Cricetulus griseus: one gene and its partners. The protein of the gene in region 2 purifies or fractionates together with the protein of the main gene of each other region. This does not show direct contact. Links are inferred from orthologs where the notes say so. Each region holds a gene or a part of one and is shown on either strand. Other genes may lie near its edges.

What was found.
Region 1: the proteins of Mad2l1 (region 2) and Anapc7 purify together in Homo sapiens (affinity purification with mass spectrometry; 3 studies listed by BioGRID and IntAct, with this or other methods). This does not show direct contact. The link is inferred for Cricetulus griseus from reciprocal best matches to the Homo sapiens genes MAD2L1 and ANAPC7.
Region 3: the proteins of Mad2l1 (region 2) and Anapc1 purify together in Homo sapiens (affinity purification with mass spectrometry; 3 studies listed by BioGRID and IntAct, with this or other methods). This does not show direct contact. The link is inferred for Cricetulus griseus from reciprocal best matches to the Homo sapiens genes MAD2L1 and ANAPC1.

Annotation. Positions count from the first base shown.
Region 1 is NC_048597.1:102,260,566-102,264,214, forward strand, and holds part of Anapc7 (anaphase-promoting complex subunit 7), read left to right. Parts: intron 1-1,074; coding exon 1,075-1,217; intron 1,218-3,649. UniProt on the Homo sapiens protein: Component of the anaphase promoting complex/cyclosome (APC/C), a cell cycle-regulated E3 ubiquitin ligase that controls progression through mitosis and the G1 phase of the cell cycle.
Region 2 is NC_048601.1:76,486,528-76,490,762, reverse strand, and holds the start of Mad2l1 (mitotic spindle assembly checkpoint protein MAD2A), read left to right. Parts: upstream 1-1,304; 5' UTR 1,305-1,433; coding exon 1,434-1,506; intron 1,507-1,829; coding exon 1,830-1,976; intron 1,977-4,235. UniProt on the Homo sapiens protein: Component of the spindle-assembly checkpoint that prevents the onset of anaphase until all chromosomes are properly aligned at the metaphase plate.
Region 3 is NC_048599.1:49,881,630-49,885,278, forward strand, and holds part of Anapc1 (anaphase-promoting complex subunit 1), read left to right. Parts: coding exon 1-13; intron 14-853; coding exon 854-936; intron 937-2,148; coding exon 2,149-2,222; intron 2,223-3,649. UniProt on the Homo sapiens protein: Component of the anaphase promoting complex/cyclosome (APC/C), a cell cycle-regulated E3 ubiquitin ligase that controls progression through mitosis and the G1 phase of the cell cycle.

The DNA of each region.
Region 1 (3,649 bases), on a different chromosome or scaffold from region 2:
TGGCTGGCATGTTCATGCCTTTTTGTTTGGAAGATAGATGTGTTTATTGTAACACCTGACAGCAACTGGGGTTTCTTTTTGTTCCAAGTCCTAGCACAAAAAGCTGTGTTTTTTTTTTTCCAGTCATTAGTAGCTGTCACTTGTGAATGGCATATAAAATCATGTATTCTATGTTGTCCTCTTAAAAACTATAACCTTGCTGGGCATGGTGGTACACACCTTTAATCTCAACACTCAGGAGGCAGAAACAGGCTTGTCAGGTCTACATAGTGAAACCCTGTCTAAAAACCAAGGAAAGGAAAAACATAACCAGAAAGTTCTTTGTAGATGTGTTATATTTGAGACAGACATACAGACACACACACCATTTCATTGTATAACTTTATACCATTTTATTTATTTAATTTTATGTGTATGGTTGTTCTGTCTGCATGTATGTTTGTATCCCATGTGTGTGCCTAGTGCACAAAGGCCAGAAGAGGGCATTGGATTCCCTGGGGCTGAAGTTATGGAAGCTGCTGTGCTAGTACTGAGAATTGAACATGGGTCCTCTGCAGGGGCATCTGATGTTCTTAACCACTGAGCTTTGCTTCAGCTCCCTATGTAAAAAATGACCATTGCACCTAGGTCATTTTTAAAGTTTTTAAAATTACATTTGTATTTATTTATTGCTCATGGGCACATGTGCTTGTGCAGAAGTCAAAGGATAACTTGAAAGAGTCAGTTCTCTTCCTTCTACCATGTAGGGCCCAGGGATCAAACCCAGATCATCAGGCTTAGTGACAGGTGCCACCCTTACCTGTTGAGCCATCTTGCTGGCTCACCAAAGTTTGTTTTAATTATTATTATAGCTAGGAGTTGTACTGCCTGAGTATACATATCAGGACTTGGGAGGTAGAGGTAGGAGGATCATGAGTTCAAGGCCAACCTGGATAATATAGTAACCCTACCTCAAAAAACAAAACCAAAAATCCAAAAACCCGAAAAGTATGTCATCTATATGCCCACCCCCCAAATGCAATGATTAAAGCTTTGTAACAAATTCTAAGGGTTTAGTATTTAATATCTTTTAAGTTCACTAGAGAAAAAATCCTTACTGCGAGACAACGTGGACCTGCTGGGGAGCTTGGCAGACCTGTACTTCAGAGCAGGAGACAGTAAGAACTCCGTCCTCAAGTTTGAGCAGGCGCAGATGTTGGATCCTTATCTGATAAAAGGTGAATCCTGGGGCCCTAGAGTGTCTGTAAAGGGCAGCTAAGAGGAAAGGCAGAGTGTGGCGTTGGCACCTGGCGTTTCTTGTTTTTTGTTATTATTGTTGCTTCTAGGCTTATTTTTATTTATGTGTAAATGTCTCTCTGTATGGTGGGCATGTACATATGAGTGCAGTGGCCTTAGAGGCCAGAGGTATCAGATTCCCCAGGAGTTGGAGTTATGACCCATGTGACATGGGTGTGGGAATCCACTCAGAGCATATGAAGAGCAGTACATGCTCTTGACTGCTGAGCCATCTCTTCAGCCCCTTATTTTTTATTGTTTGAATAAAGGGTCTCATGTAGCCTTGAACCTGGCTTTGAGTTCTTGATTCTTTTGCTTCCACCTCTCGAATGTTGGCTCACAGGCATGCACTGTTTTTCAGGACAGCCTCTGTGAGGCTCACTTACTGTAGCAGTCCTCTCCCTGACCTGGCGTATGTCTCTAACACTTAGCTAATACTATTCTGAGTGGTTGTTTGACTTGAATTCAAGTGTTTTCTCCTCATAGACCATTGCCAAGCTTTTTTCTTTTAAGGGGTATCGTGCCCCATTCCCCCATGAATTAAAATTGATGACGTGGCTGACTGGTGGCATCAGCAGAATCCTAATGTCCTTTTAGGGACTTTGGTTTTACTCTGTCCTTAGTATAATTGCAAAGAAGTGGGGGACAGATATTAAGAACAGGATAGAGTGGTTAAAGTGTCATCATCAGAGACAGCCACTGATCTGGAAGCAGTTGCAGGTGAAGGAACAAGGCACAGTGGTTTGAGGGGTGGGGGAGGCCGGCAGTTTGAAGAATGGAATGCTCAGGGATACAGGGGAGTGAGACGTAAAGACCCAGCAGAGGCCAACGGGAGAATACACCTTGGGGTAATAAACAGGCTTTTAGATTCATAAAGAATGACGGAATGATAATTCTAACACTCTGAACACTAAGGTAGGATTATGAGGTCAAGGCTAGCTACACAGTGAGACCCTGACTCTACCAAACAAAGGATGACTGAGTGTGAAGGGACCTTCCCAAGTATTCAGATGAGGGAACAGTCTAGAAAGTGTGTTTGTGCAAGGTCTTCCCCTGTCTGGTGTTTATTTCTCTTCTCTACACCGCACTAGTAATCTCAGCACTTGGGAGGTAGAAAAAGAAAGGTCAGTGGTTCAAGTTCATCTGGCCATTGTGGGCTGCTGGAAACTCTGCCTTAGACCTACCTACCACCAAAGAAATACAGAGAGAGAGAAGTCAACAGTGGTGGCGCACACCTTTAATCCCAGCACTCAGGAGGCAGAGGCAGGCGGATCACTGAATTTGAGATCAGCCTGGTCTGCACAGTGAGTTCCAGGACAGCCAAGGATACACAGAGATATTTCCTGTCTGGAAAAATCAAAAATCAACAACAACATAAACAAAAAAGTAAAAAGAGAGAGAGAGAGAATAATTCAGAGTTTTAGAAATAATAGCCCGGTGGCACTGGTAGCTTGGACTTCGATACTTACATCCAAAACCCAGGCTAGCAGGAGTGTGACTGGGAGAGGACTGGGGATTTGAAGGAATGGCAAGGAAGAACAGTAGGTAGAGAGAGGTGCATGAGAGTCAGCATGGGCCTTTATAAACCATGAGGAAGGGAGGGTTTAAGTGGAAGACAGGTGGCATTCCCTGATGAACTACATTCTAGAATAAAACAGCTTTTTGGGGCATAGGCCAGGCCATTTTATTTATTCATTTGTCTGTTTATTTGAGACTGGGTGTTTTCAACATAGTAAACATGAGATGGGTGAGAGCAGTTAGGTAACAGCGTTATGTGATGCCTTCTGGGGACATTTTCTGGGATGTTGTTCACCACACTACAGATTTAGGGACAGACAGTTCTTGAAGTGACAGAGATTCAAGTTGTGATGTAGGACCTGCTGCTCCTGTGCCTACCTGTCTCTCCATCTTTCGTTCTTTCATGTGTGTGGTTTCTGCCTACAAGTTTACGTTCAGCATGTGTGTGCAGGAGCCCCCAGAGGCCAGAAGAGGACCTTTCTTGTTTTCAATGGTTTACTGTTTATTGATGCAGTCATTTGGAGAGGGGGGTCTCTTGTAGATGAGGTTGACCTTGAACTTCTGCTTTTCCTGCTTCCAGCTCCCAAATGCTGGGATTATTGGCCTGTGCCACCATCCCAGTTTATGTGGTGCTAGAAACTGACCCTGAGCTCCGAGCATGCTGGGCAGGCACTCTCCCAACTGAGCTGCATCTTAAGCCCTGGCTGTTCTGGAACTTAACTCTGTAGACCAGGCTGGCCTCTAGCTCACAGAAATCCTCCTGCTTCTGTCTCCTGAGTGCTGGGATTAAAGGCATGTGTCACCCACACCCGGTTTATTTAATTTCTAAAATTAAATTATATGTGTGTATGAGCGG
Region 2 (4,235 bases):
TTAAAAAAAAGTTTAAAAAAAAAAAAAAAAAAAACAGTAACATGAAGCCCATGTGTAACTTTACATGCTCTGGTACAGGCTTTAAATACTCAAAAAGGAAGAGCGTTTGACCAAAGAACTTGAAAGCAAGCTATTTTAATTACAAAGAAAGGGATTCTTGTATGCGTGTGTGTGTGTGTGTGTGTGTGTGTGTGTGTGTGTGTGTGTGTGTGTGTGTGTGTTGAAGGGATTCTCGTGCGTGTGTGTGTGTGTTTACTGTGTGTGTGTGTTTTGAAGGGATTCTCGTGTGTGTGTGTGTGTGTGTGTGTGTGTGTGTGTTTTGAAGGGATTCTCGTGTGTGTGTGTGTGTGTGTGTGTGTGTGTGTGTGTGTGCGGGATTCTCATGTGTGTGTGTTGAAGGGATTCTCGTGTGTGTGTGTTTACTGTGTGTGTGTGTGTGATTCTCGTGTGTGTGTGTGTGTGTGATTCTCGTGTGTGTGTGTTTACTGTGTGTGTGAGTGTGTGTTTACTGTGTGTGTGTGATTCTCGTGTGTGTATGTGTGTGTGTGTGTGTTTCTCGTGTGTGTGTGTTTACTGTGTGTGTGTGTGTGATTCTCGTGTGTGATTCTCGTGTGTGTGTGTGATTCTCGTGTGTGTGTGTGTGTGTGTGTGTGTGTGTGTGATTCTCGTGTGTGTGTGTGATTCTCGTGTGTGTGTGTGTGTGTGTGTTGAAGGCACACACCTTACTGGCTTTACTGGCTGAGCCTTCTCTTGTACCCAGTCCCTATTCTGATATTTCTCCAGAAAATTCGCGTTCCCACACAAAACACAGGCTCTCCCAAACTGCAAACTATCCACGAAGCTGAGACTACTTCGGGGATATTCGGACCTGGACTTAGCCGGCGAGCCTTCCCTCCGTCACCCTGGGGCTCTTCCTGGACACCCCGTCACCCTGGGGCTCTTCCTGGACACCCGACCAGAGGCCCCACCCACAGCGACCCTCCCGGGCGGGAAGCCGGAGAGCGCGGAGCCAGGCCCACTCTGCGCCTGCGCAAGCAGCGAGGGCGGAGCCAGGGCCGGATACAAGTGGCTCTGGGCGGAACTTAGGGGCCGCTCTCTGGTCCTCGAGGGACTGCGTTCACAGCGGAAGCGGCGCTTCTGGACGGAATCTTGAGAGCAGACCGTCCTTAGAGGGTTCAGTTATGGGGGAGGGACTTAGGGCGGAAACCGGAAGTATGGGGCGGGCTTAGGGAGAAATGAGGCGTTTATAGGACGGGGCCGGGGCCGGAAACCGGCGGTGTAGGTGGGGCTTGCGGGACATTGCGCTTGCGCACGGAGCGCCCCGCGGGCTGCGTAGTTATTTTTGAACCGGGTGGCGGGGAATAGCTGAAGGAGCTGAGCCGGGAGGGCGCGGTGTGCGGTGAGGCTGACAGCGGTCTCCGTTAGATCGAGTGATGGCGCAGCAGCTCGCCCGAGAGCAAGGCATCACCCTGCGCGGGAGCGCGGAGATCGTGGCCGAGTTTTTTTGTGAGTTTTGAATGCGGCCGGAGAGCGGCCTGGCCGGGACCTAGGACGCGCTAGGGCGGAACCACCGCCCGGTCTCCTGCTCGTTCGTGCCGTGGCGGAGAACGGAGGGGCCTTCCCTGGGGCATCGTGCCATTCGCGCTTTGAAAGCCGGGGTCTGTGTTGACATCCGCTCAGCACATGTGTATTTGCACTTAGACTGCGGTGTCGTGAGAGTTGGCATTGCTGGGTTGAAGGTTTTCCGGTGTCGTTTTGTGTCAGCTCTGCTTTCTGGAAGACTTGGAAACGTGAGTAGGTGTTCACTGCTCGATTCCTTTCGTTTTCAGCGTTTGGCGTCAACAGCATTTTGTATCAGCGTGGCATATACCCGTCGGAAACCTTTACTCGAGTGCAGAAATACGGACTCACCTTGCTTGTAACTACTGACCCCGAGCTCATAAAGTATCTCAATAATGTGGTCGAACAGCTGAAAGGTAATCACGTTTTGAGTTTTACCTCTGACAGGGTTACGTTTACGAGGGTGGCTTAAAGCAATATGCCTTCTCAAATACAGCGCTTCTGGACTGGGAGGGAGGAAGTAATGGAGGGAAATCCCATCCTTTCTCCCACTGCTTTTAAGTAGCCTGAGTGTATTGATGTTAGGCGTCTCGGAGTCGGAAGTGTCTTATCAGCTGCTTTAGGAATGCATTTTGCGGTTTAAACAGGTACAACGAGTTGATGGTTTTACACGAGATGATTTTGCTCTTCTTAGACACCCATTGATATGCTGCAGTTGTTGTAACCAGGGTATTACTAAATAACAATATACAGGAAAGTTCCGGTTTTACTTTTCAACTATTCTCTTTATCTTCCTTAAAAGCGGTGGCTGTAATTCAGTATCTGGACAGTTTATTTATTCATTCGTAGCTCAGTGTTGTGCTGCCTGTTTGGCCAATACTTATTCCCACCTATTTCTATTCCTTCTGGAATCCTTGTTCCTCGTGTTGCACACCACTTAGGATTGCCATTCTAATTATAATAATCTTTTCTGTGTTTAGCCTTGTATCTCCCAACAAAGTCTTATAAAAACCAATTCCAAAAGCATTACAGCTGTCTTTTTTCTCTCTAGTTTTTCATGTGTTTGGGTGTTTTTCCTGGGTTATGTCTGTATGTACCAGGTGCATGCCTGGTTCCTTAAAAGACCCGAAGAAGGTGTCAATTCTTAGGAAGAGCACCACTGCTCCTAAGAAATTTTTTTTTGCAAAGATGTTTTAGTTTGTTTCTATTGTAGTTTCATTACAGTGTTCATTGCATTTTTTTTTTGTTGTTGTTAACTTTAGCATTAAAATGACCTTCTTTTGGTGACCAGCTGAACATAGACATCTCTTTAAGGCCATATTTTTTTTGTTTTGTTTTACTTTTGAGGCAGGGTCTCTCAAAAGCTCTTGACTATCCTGAAATTCGATAACCTTGAAGCCCTGTAGATAAAGTTGCTCTTGGTTGAGAACTTCTTTGATAGATTAGACAGCTAGAATAGGAAAGGTGAAGTACTTGATAAATATGTGGAGATAGATTTCTATTCTCAAGTGCAAGCAAGATACGTATACGCTGAGAGGAGCAGCCCATCTCTCATTATTTTCCCAGATTGTGGGTCAGGGTGGAATCATGTATGGTCATTGGATGTCACTCATACTTGACCTGGAACTGCTAGATAGCTATTGCTAGGTGTCATCACCATCATCATCATCCTGGTTCAATAGAGAATCCAGCCTTAACTGATACTGGGGTTACAGGTTGTCACTGGTGACATTGTACCTCATCTACATTTTTGTTGTCACTCACTTCTCCTGTCCTAGTTAAAACACAGGAATTGCTCTTTATGAATAGGCAAATTGTTCTCTTTCTTTTCAGTCCCATTTCCTCTAGCCTTTTTAGAAGCATTTTACTTCTTTCTTTCTTTCTTTCTTTTCTTTCTTGTATTTTCTGTTTCTCTGTTATGATTTCCATTCTTCCTGTTGGTTTCATCTCCCTCCAACTTTAATCTTACAAAAGAAAAATGATGTATACTGAGTTGCTATCCCAATTTCAGTATTAACTCAGGGTTCCATCTGAGATCCTCTTTATAATTGCTAGATTATCTGTGCCATTCACAACTTCACTACCAACTTTTATGTGATTAAGCTAACCCTCTACTCCAGACTCATAAACAACGTGACATCTCTGTATGCTTTATACTCTGCAGAATAAAAACTAAATGTAGGATGATCTCGAGAATTGTTCATTAGTTACTAGGTTAACAGTCCAACGAGAAATGAAGTCTGAAACCTGAAAGCTACCTCAAAATGATTCTTTTTGGTTTTTCTAGACAGGGTTTCTCTGTGTAGCTTTGGAGCCTATCCTGGCACTCGTTCTGGAGACCAGGCTGGCCTCGAATCAAAATGATTCTTATTGAAAGCTAATCAGATAATCTTAACAGTTTTAAGCATGAAATTGCTTTGTTCCCTCTCTACCGGTTTATGCTATGAACTTTGAATCCTAGTGTCTGTAGACCCTCTTTTTACCCCCTCCAGCTAACTTACTACCAAGTATGATAGTTTGGAAACACAAGTTTAATTGTTCACTCTGCTTAAAACACAGTTGTGGTTTTCCTGATTCTTAAAAGCATAGTTTCATTAATTCCACAGATAAGATTTTACAGGATATAGCATCTTGATTTTTCATAATAGTATATTCTTCCTTGTCTTTGTAATTTT
Region 3 (3,649 bases), on a different chromosome or scaffold from region 2:
CTTACCATTTCAGGTAAACTTGAGTGTTTTAAGTTTTTCAGTGTGTAAAAACAAACAAAAAACAAAAAACAACCCCCCCATATACATACATACACACACACACACACACACACACACACACACACACACACACACACACCCACCCACCCACCCACCCACCCCACCCCTGGGCAGTGGTGGTGCATACCTTTAATCCCAGCACTCAGGAGGCAGAGGCAGGCGGATCTCTGTGAGTTTGAGAGCAGCCTGGTCTCTACTGGGTGGATTCCAGGACAGCCAGGGCTACACAGAGAAACCTTGTCTGAAAAAACAAACAAACAAAATCCCCACAACTTTTTTGTGTGTTTTCTTGGAGATCATGTATATCAGATTTTTATATAGATCTCTATGTATCAAGGGTATTAGTTTGTACTTAGTTTTAGTTTAACACGTGCCTGTCCTTTCCACAAAAACAGTTTTTTAATAAAGTAAATTATAATATGAGATGTTTGTCAGTTTAAAGATATTTGAGAAATCATTTTGGCTTTATTATAGTACGTCTGTGAATAATATTGGCCTTTTTCCTTGCAGCACATCATCTCTTAATGCTCAATGCTATTAAAGTTTTATTCACTCTTGTGTTGGTACCCACACTGGCCATAGTTTCACACTGAGCACCTCTTCTGTGGGTTTGATTTGTTTTTCTTAGAGTTGCTTGTAAAAAATCATAGGTTTTGAAGTACTGTAGCTTGTGAGTTTATTATCATGTTGCTTTGAAAGCTCTCAATAAATTCAAAGAAAATTGAATGTTCTGTCTTTTTTCCTGAAACCTTTTCTTAAACTTCTCTTATCCCCCCCCCCCCCTTATTGATAGGTGGCAAATGTTTGGGCCACTAAATATGGTTTGCTGTTCGAACGGAGCAGTTCTTCACATGAGGTGCCTCCAAGTCTACCTAGGTATTCCATTTATTCTGTTGAGAATATTATTTCTTGGGCTTTTTTCATGTTGATTCTGAAGTAAACTTGTTAACCTAAATGTTTGGGGTGGTGATGACGTCCTTGTTCACAGCATGAGTGTGCAAGCATTTTCATGCCAGTTAGAGCCCTGCTGTGATGCTGAGTCAGCACTCCATTGCCCTGTGCTCTCCTTCAGAGCATTAAATAGCAGCTTAATGACAAGATTCTGTTACTAGCTCTGCCATGTACTACTTTGGACATATCATTATTGCTGTCTTAGTTTCCATTTCCTTATTTGTTACAGGAATGTTAGTAGTTACTCTTGGGATCTATGCAGACTCTCACAGGGGCCCATTGTCTACAGGTGTTCAGTCATGGTGGAGACTTGTTGATGCTGCACTTCCCTTGCCTCCCTGGAAACTGTGTGCTTATTGAGAGGAGCATATACAGCAGGCACATTGCAAAAGCAGATGCTCGAAGCATCATAGCTGTTTGTAGATTTTAATCTCTGCTTTGCTAGAAAACCAGCACTTTTCCTCCTCAAAATTCCTGAAAATTGTAGGCTTAACTACTTAGTATTTTTCTCTTCTTTTTAAAAATGTGCCCCTTATTAACAAGTATAGGAGATTAAATTTCTACCATAGTCACACTGCCACTAAGAGAGATAAGTGAATGACTGTCTTAGGCCGGTTGTTATTTTCTGGGTTCTGTCATGTGATGGCTGCTATTTGCAGATTTTCCCTTGGACAGTCATTTTCTTTCTGTGTGTAAATGTATAGAATTATTTATTTTTAGAACTAAAACAGGATGATGTGAAAGACAGTATTTGAAGAATTTAGAAGGTTCCTTTTGGAGACAGTAGCTGTGACAAGATGCTTGACAAGCCCTTGAGGGAGGAAGGATTTACTTTGCTCACAGTTCAGCCCTTCATTTAGGGAAGGCGGGGCAGAGTTCATGTTAGGAGGACTGTGCATCTTGGCAGATCAGGAAGTGAATTGAGGGGTTGGGAACAGGACTGGGCAGAAACTCTCAGACCCTGTTTTCCCCAAGGCTCCACAGCCTCATGAAGCAATGCTACAAGTTGGGGACCAAGTGTTCAAACATGAGCCTATGAGGTATCTCATATTCAAGTGGTAACAGTAGATTTCTAGCTGCTTGTTTAGCACCAGGGTTATCTTGTTGGTAATTGTTTGTGTGTTTGTTTATTACTAGAGAACCTTTGCCCACTATGTTCAGCATGCTACACCCACTAGATGAAATAACTCCGCTAGTTTGTAAATCTGGAAGTAAGTGTACTTTTATACTCTTTTGCATAAACTCTGTTTTAATATTGAGGGAGGAAAATACAAATGAAGTTTGTTTACAAAGTGGCTTGTTTTATCAGAAGAAAATTTAAGCGTGTTATAAAAGTGACTTTTGGACTGGAGAGATGGCTCAGAGGTTGAGCTGCTTTTCCAGAGGTCTTAAGTTCAATTCCCAGCAACCACATGGTGGCTCACAACCATCCGTAATGAGATCTGATGCCCTCTTCTGGCTTGCAGGATACATGCAGACAAAATACTGTATACATAATAAATAGATATTAAAAAAAAAAAAAAAAGTCACTTTTATCCTGAAAGTAATTCATTGAAAGCAAGGACATTAGTTATCTCAGCAAAACTAAGACATATAAATCAGTGAGGGACACTCATGTTTGTTAACTTGCCTATAGGTGACTGTCCTTTGAAAATAAGAAAATGAATGATACTTGGATGAACGAAAGGGTTTTGTTGTTGTTGTTGTTTTGAGTAAAAATAACAGAGTCCTGATTACTGAGCACATTTTAGTATTTCACTTTTTTTGTTCAAGTTTACTGATAATCCACACCTTGAGTATATCTAAAGTCTTCCTGTATGTTTGGCTTTAAATTTAGGCTTTACCAAACATGAATCGATACCTACAAATAATAAAGACTGAAGACTGGAAGGACATTTATATTTATAGTGTTTGGTCATTTTACTGGTGCATTCCAAATGCCACTGAAGTTTCATCTCCTGCAGCATAAGTGGGATAGCCATTGCTAATCAAACCTCTGTCCTGTTTCTGTAAAACATACCAGCTGTCTTTTTAAAGGTTGTAGCAAATGGCAATAAAGATTGTTGATCATGTACTATATAAAACTATAAATACCTAAGATTCTGATTTGGTAAAAATGGAGTGTGGAGGCAAGTACCTATAGCCCCAGCTATTTCTGAGGCTGAGGGAGGAAGATTGCTTGAGACTAGCATTTTATGGGCAGGCTGGGCAACATAGTGAAGCTTCTGTCTCTCTTGATCTCTTTTTTTGTTTTTGTTTTTTTTTTTTTTTTAAGACAGGGTCTCCCTGTGTAGCTTTGGAGCCTGTCCTGGAACTAGCTCTGTAGACCAGGCTGGTCTCAAACACACAGAGATTTGCCTGCCTCTGCCTCCCAAGTGCTGGGGTTAAAGGTGTGCCCCACCAACACCTGGCCGTTTGCTTATTTTTTACTTCTTGGAAACTGCATCCCACTGTGTAGGCCTGGCTGGGCTGGAACTTTCTATGTAGATCAAGCTGGCCTCAGATTCACTGAGAGCTGCCTGCCACTGTCTCCTAAGTGCTGGGATTAAAGGTGTATGTCACCATGCCTGGCTAGTTTTATTATTTCTTTATAAAATAATTTCTATTCCTGCAGAATAATCATGTTTTTCATTTCCCA